2 linked regions of the Macaca mulatta genome follow. The main gene of each other region encodes a partner of the protein of the gene in region 2 in a complex. Links are inferred from orthologs where the notes say so. Each region holds a gene or a part of one and is shown on either strand. Other genes may lie near its edges.

What was found. The genes of interacting proteins can lie anywhere in the genome.
Region 1: the proteins of HYPK (region 2) and NAA10 are in contact, whole or in part, in a crystal structure (PDB 6C95), measured with the Homo sapiens proteins. The link is inferred for Macaca mulatta from reciprocal best matches to the Homo sapiens genes HYPK and NAA10. Residues at the interface, in NP_057484.4 of Homo sapiens: Lys27, His28, Ser30, Gly31, Asp34, Leu35, Arg37, Val38; in NP_003482.1 of Homo sapiens: Glu24, Tyr26, Lys29, Tyr30, Tyr33, Lys59, Glu134, Lys136, Tyr137.

Annotation. Positions count from the first base shown.
Region 1 is NC_133426.1:160,175,614-160,178,419, reverse strand, and holds the end of NAA10 (N-alpha-acetyltransferase 10), read left to right. Parts: intron 1-58; coding exon 59-103; intron 104-1,351; coding exon 1,352-1,436; intron 1,437-1,976; coding exon 1,977-2,213; 3' UTR 2,214-2,279; downstream 2,280-2,806. UniProt on the Homo sapiens protein: Catalytic subunit of N-terminal acetyltransferase complexes which display alpha (N-terminal) acetyltransferase activity. Acetylates amino termini that are devoid of initiator methionine.
Region 2 is NC_133412.1:21,181,545-21,185,349, forward strand, and holds HYPK (huntingtin-interacting protein K), read left to right. Parts: upstream 1-1,331; 5' UTR 1,332-1,510; coding exon 1,511-1,696; intron 1,697-2,043; coding exon 2,044-2,099; intron 2,100-2,724; coding exon 2,725-2,776; coding exon of another isoform or gene 2,777-2,784; intron 2,785-2,917; coding exon 2,918-3,013; 3' UTR 3,014-3,218; downstream 3,219-3,805. Other genes in the region: SERINC4 (serine incorporator 4), read right to left, coding at 1-56, 228-404, 797-898. UniProt on the Homo sapiens protein: Component of several N-terminal acetyltransferase complexes. Inhibits the N-terminal acetylation activity of the N-terminal acetyltransferase NAA10-NAA15 complex (also called the NatA complex).

The DNA of each region.
Region 1 (2,806 bases), on a different chromosome or scaffold from region 2:
CGTGCTACCCCTCCCTGGCCATGTCCGTGCAGCTCAGCAGTGCCTTGTTCCCCTGCAGTAACCGGGCCGCCCTGCACCTCTATTCCAACACCCTCAACTTTCAGTAAGTAGATCTCGAGTTTTCTCGTGGGCTGGGGTTGGCCCCAGGTCTGGCCCATCAGGGCACCTGAGACCGGCTGAGTTGCCTTCCAGGCTAGGGGTGGGCCGGATGTGGGGAGGACGCTGTGGACCCCAGTGCTGCCAGGATGCCTCCACATTCACTCGGTGGCTGATGGTTGAAAAGCCGGCATGGAGACAGCACCTGCCTGCTGAAACGTGCTCCGTGTGTGTTGTGATGGAGGAGCTCTGGCCCATGCTGGCAGAGGCTGGTGAAGGGCACACGGGCTGTTTAGTAATGTTTGGGAATAAAGAGGTGTGGGTCCCTGGCGTGAGCAGATCATAGCATGGCCAAGCACCTGGAAGAATCCAAGAGAGAGCAGAATCAAGGAGAATGCACGTTCAGGAAGGAAGGACCGGCGGCCAGGCAACCTAGTGGATGGGGCAGGTCTGCCTGAGGACCGGGAGGCCCCGTGTGCCTAGCACAGGAGAGAGGACCTGGCAGTTAGCATGCCCAGTAGACAGTGGAAAAAAGTGCTTGCAAGTGAAGCTGGGGTGGGCTGCCCGTGGAGGGACACTAACTGCAGTCAGCCCCTGTTTGGCAGGGGTGAAGAGGAGGGACTGTTGGGAAGGGCAGTGGCCTCTGGGCTGGATGCTGGCAAGAGGGATCTGTGACCCAGATGAGGATGTCTGGTGGGAACTGCTTTATAGCTAAGTCAACAATCCTCATGTCTTAGGCCTGGCAGGGCCAGCCTAGGCCATTGAGTCCAGCTCCCCTTCCAGGGACATGGCCACCCGAGTCTGCACACATGCCTCCCCAGTGCAGGCATGGCCCCTGAGCTGCTCAGGCAGGGCCCGTGCTGCCTAGGGATGACTCCCCTAAACAGAGCTCACTGTCTTTCCTGGGTTCTGATGGCTGTTGTGAGGCAGCTCAGTAAGGGACAGGACGCAGGGCAGGGAGGGAAGGGGAAGGCTGAATTCAGGAATTCAGCTCACAAGAAACCACAGAAATGAATCCTTAGTAGCCAGGCTAAGGACACAGAACGGGGGCAGGACAGGGGTGGGGCGGGCCGCTGTTTCCTGGAGCCTTTGCTGGAGAGAACAGAGGGCAGGTCACACTGGACTTGCTGTCTCAGGAAGGAGCCCTTCAGGGAGAAAACACGGCATCTTGCTCCAGTAGCCATGATACTAGGAGTGGAGGAGGGTGTCCCCCAGGTATGGGTCTTCCTCCTTGCTCTCTACCCTCTGCCCCCAGGATCAGTGAAGTGGAGCCCAAATACTATGCAGATGGGGAGGACGCCTATGCCATGAAGCGAGACCTCACTCAGATGGCCGACGAGGTAAGAGCCTGCATGAAGCCAAGCCAGGCAAGCGGGGGTGGCATTGGGGAGCCCCGAGACAGTGGCTGGAGGTGCGACCAACTTTGAATGCCAGCCCTTGTGGCTATGTTGCCAGGAGTCACAACCTCAGTTTCCTAGGTTGGGCTTTAGAGGAGGCCGTCTGCCTAGCAGCCTGGAGGGTGATGGGAGAGGCAGAGGGAGGAGGCTTTTAGAAGGGAAGTGGGGAGGCCTGGGGACCAGTGGGTGGCCTGCCTGCTCAGAGGTAGTTCTGAGTCAGGGTTCTGCCCCAGGCTCCTTGGGTGGCAGGGCTGGTCAAGGGGCAACGCTGTGTCGTGGGGGCCTCCATGGTAGTCAGTGAGCCCAGGTAGCAGTGGACTGGGGCTCCAGCCAGGTGTCCCCACTCAGTCCCACGTGTCCTGCCTAGCCCTGCTGCCTCACTATGCCCCTCTCCTCAGCCAGCGACAGGGCCAGGCTCCCTTTGTCTGGAAACTTAGGCCCCATCTCTTTACCTCCTGCTTCTCCCTGGGTTCCTGGTGGCAGCTGAGGCGGCACCTGGAGCTGAAGGAGAAGGGCAGGCATGTGGTGCTGGGTGCCATCGAGAACAAGGTGGAGAGCAAAGGCAATTCACCTCCGAGCTCAGGAGAGGCCTGTCGCGAGGAGAAGGGCCTGGCTGCCGAGGATAGTGGTGGGGACAGCAAGGACCTCAGCGAGGTCAGCGAGACCACAGAGAGCACAGATGTCAAGGACAGCTCAGAGGCCTCCGACTCGGCCTCCTAGAGCCTGCCCCATCCCTTCCTCACCCCACGAGCTTTCACAATAAATTCGCTCCGTGGCACTGGGGAACTTCGTGTGTGTGCGTGTGCACATTTAGAGGGTGTGTTTCTCCAGGTCCTCTGGTGGGGAGGTGAGCCTCAGCCTTTTGACCCAGAGCATCCTGCCAGTCCGAATAGAAGGGAAGAGCTTTGGAGGTGGGACTCCCCAGTCTCATGGCCTTCAGCAGCTGTGGCCCCGGGAAGGAGGCCCTGGGCTTAGGGAGAGACCCTGCCTTGGAGGTCTGCTTGGCCACGCTGAATGTGTTTTGTGGCATAAGCCTGGGCCGCTTAGGCTCAAAGCTCAACAGCAGGGCTCCCACTCTTGGTAGCCTTCAGTTCTCCTCCCATCTTCACCTTCAGACCTTTTCTCTCCCTAATCACACCTGCTTTGGGCTACAGCAGCTCTGCGGCATAGCCGTGGGCTCCAGATGTGGACATCTGACTGCTCATTGGGCTTATCTACAGCTGTCCTGAGTATAATGACCCAGCCAGACGCCCTGTCAACGGTCCTTGAGTCCTCCCTTCCCTGCCACCCTAATGGTCAGTGAGTCCATGATA
Region 2 (3,805 bases):
ACTGGACAGTCAGAGAGGCCAAACAGGTGGGCACACAACCCCGAGGGCATCTGGATCTGGGAGTGTGTGTGTGAGAAATGGCAGGACAAGTCATAATGCATGGAAAGGTACCTCCTTATATGGGTATGACCACTCATTTGTCTCCTGCCCCCAACCAAAATCTCTTCTATCTTAGGGTTTTTCCTTTTATCTCTTTCCACTTGACAACCCGACCCCCTCTCACTTACCCTGTGTGTTTTGCCCCACACCCTTTCCACTACTGTCCTTGACAGCAGGAGGCAGCAGATTGCTGAGGCCCCCACATGGAGGAGGATGTAGAACAGGCGGCTGCAAGTGGATGCGGTGAGAGAGGGCCACCTAGAGTGGCAGCAGCTGGCACAAGGAGCAGGCCCACAGCAGCACACCTGGGGGTAGAGCAGATGCAAGGCAGCGAGGTGGATACTTGCTGAGGAAAGGCATATGTTAAATGTATGTGTGAGGTTAACCCAGGAGGCTGAATTCCAAAATTTCCTTCCCCTTTCTTCCTTTTACTCAGGTTCTGTTTCAAGCTGATTCCAGCCATTTGGGATTGCCTTCCACTGACAACTTAGTAGGGGTTTCATTATAAGCAGGCTTGAGATATCTGACCTTTCTCTAGACCTAAACCCCTGGGGCTGGGACCATGGCGGGAGACATTTACAGATACCCGGGGGCAAAGTACCAGAATGACATTAGAGAAAAGAAGCCTGACGTTTTTACTGGCTTCTGCATGTTTTCCTCCCCAGCTTCTGCCACTCTACCTTTCGCACCCTCTCACCTGACAGAAGGGGCTTTTCACTAGGACACTGCTGCCTCCGCTGCGCTGCTGTGCCAGGCCCAGGGAGGTGCTGGGGCTGAGGCCGGCCTTGGCACCCACCATCCTTGTCCCAGGGATTAGGCTTAGGTCCACCAGATGGAAGGCAGATGAGAGTAGCAGCTGCTTCTGTCCTCAGCCCATTGGACTGCCACTGTGTTGGGGCTGAGCACCCGGTCCCGGGCAGAATGCGGACGTCTGGAAGAGAACACTGACCTCTAGGATGTGGTAAATGCAAATACCCTGTGAAGGAGCTTTGTCCTCAGGGCCTCAACACTGCGGCCACTCAGGCTGTTCTCTCCAGATTATGGGGCAGTTTGTCTATCTGGCCCCCTGTGGATTAGCATTCTTAATTGGTTTAGGATTAGACGTCATCCATTCAGGTTGAACGGAGTTCCCTGAGGTGGCTGCGTGTCTATGTGTTGAGGGAACTATTCCTAGTTTATGAGGTGGTAAGGATGTCGGTGGGGTGGGCTGGAGCGGTGACGGGTTAGGTCTGAGAGAAAGCCCTTGCACAAAAGACTGTGCAAACCCGAAAGGAAGTCTGAGACGAACCACCTTCCTCGCTGAAGCTTCTAGAACTGGAGCAGAAAGAAGGTGTGGCCCAGGGCCAGCTCCGCCTCCTCCCCGGGCGGAAGCTGTGTGTTAGTTGCCGGAAGTCGCCGTGAGGTGGGGCTTATGCGGCGGCGTGGTGAGATAGATATGGCGACTGAGGGGGATGTGGAGCTGGAGTTAGAGACTGAGACCAGTGGACCAGAGCGGCCTCCCGAGAAGCCACGGAAGCATGACAGCGGTGCTGCGGACTTGGAGCGGGTCACCGACTATGCGGAGGAGAAGGAGATCCAGAGTTCCAATCTGGAGACGGTAAGGTTGGCCAAGAGCATGTTGGGGCGGGCTGAGAGCAGAGGGGGTCTCTGAGGCTGTAGCTGGAAGCCCGCGCTCCAAGACGGGGTTCTGATCCCGATGGCAGGAGGAGGCAGTAGGGTAGAGCCGAGGGAAACAAGGGTCACCGGAGCCCGCCGCTTGCCTAAAGGAGCTTGATAGGGGGCTTAAGGGGACCTCAGATGCATAGAATGGAATTAAACATGGTCCTTGCTACCTGGTAACACTTGTCATCGTGAATCCATACATGAACCGCTTGTTTTATTGGCCTTGTAGATTATTGGGAATTGTGGGTAGCGGTGCACTAACTAGACCTGCCTTTGCCATAGGCCATGTCTGTGATTGGAGACAGAAGGTCCCGGGAGCAGAAAGCCAAACAGGAGCGGTAAGTCTTCAGGGGCAGCCAACTTTAACAGTTCTTCCCTCCCCGCTCCCCAGACAAAAATAGAAACCATTATTAAGCCTTTATACCGCTCTTCAACTTTATCACCAATTCCTGCAGATCTAGGCCCCACAACTTTGTTAGCAGAAGGCCTCCTGGCAACTCCTGCTGCGAAGACTCCAGGGGAAAGGAGTATTAGTGGGAGTTTTTATTTTTTTCTGAGACGGAGTTTCGCTCTTGTTGCCCAGGCTGGAGTGCAACGGCACGATCTCAGCTCACCGCAACCTCCGCCTCCCAGGTTCAAGCGATTGTCCTACCTCAGCGTCCCTAGTAGCTGGGATTACAGGCATGTGCCACCACGCCCGGCTAATTTTGTATTTTTAGTAGAGACGGGATTTCTCTGTGTTGGTCAGGCAGGTCTCAAACTCCCGACCTCAGGTAATCCGCCCGCCTCCGCCTCTCACAGTGCTGGGATTATAGGCGTGAGCCCTCGCGCCCGGCCCTGAAGTTTTTACTTTCAATCAAGGGTTTATCAAGATGATTTTACAGGGCACATCTGGGAATGACCCTTCCTGGGAGTTTATGGTGTTGGTTGAGAATGAGGCCTAATATATTTAAACATTTGCAGGGAGAAAGAACTGGCAAAAGTCACTATCAAGAAGGAAGATCTGGAGCTGATAGTGAGTAGTAGTGCCTAACTACTGTATGGGGAGAGGAGGCTATTCTGCTTAATTTGGGTTGTTTCCTGAAACAAGCGGAGTCAGAATATTTGGTGGCACATTAATGCCTGGGAATCTATGTAACATGGTTTTTTTCTGCAGATGACCGAGATGGAGATATCTCGAGCAGCAGCAGAACGCAGCTTACGGGAACACATGGGCAACGTGGTAGAGGCGCTTATTGCCCTAACCAACTGACGCGTGCTTCCACAAATATACCTACTGGATTAATTTATGGCAATAAAATTTTTTTTTGTCTTTCTCAGTTTTATCATCTTGGGTCAAGTGGAGTATATACTATATATATTCTATTTTGTGGGGAATTTATATGTTGGAGAATAACTGAATTTAAGTGACCCATTAAAATCTAGCACACCTGTATGAAAAATTAGTGTAGAATAATACCTCATGTGCAGATGCAGATGCTAGGTGGCAGGACAGTCTCATTCATCTGACTAGCTCTCAACAGTAAATAAGGTACATCTGGCGTCTCAGCAGAGTTACTGTACTCAAATGGCACGTGTCTCCAGGACAGCTTATGAATATCTAAAATGTCAGCTACCTGCCTAGGAGCCACTATATGTATAGATAGCTGTAAGTTATGAACCCAGTTCATAGGCCACCTTGAGTTAGAATTTTGGTACCTACAACATGCTTGATTTCGAGTGATAAAACAAAAAGAATTTGGCTGGGCGCCATGGCTGACGTCTCTGATCCCGGCACTTTGGGAGGCCGAGGCAGGCAGATCACGAGCTCAGGAGTTCGACCAGCCTGGCCAACACGTGAAACCCCATCTCTACTAAAAAGAGAAAAATTAGCCAGGCATGGTGGCGGGCACCTGTAATCCCAGCTACTCGGGAGGCTAAGGCAGGAGAATCGCTTGAAACTGGAAAGCCAGAGGTTCCAGTGAGCTGAGATTACACCACTGTACTCCAGCCTGGGTGAAAGAGTGAAACTCCATCTCAAAAAAAAAAAGGCCGGGCGCGGTGG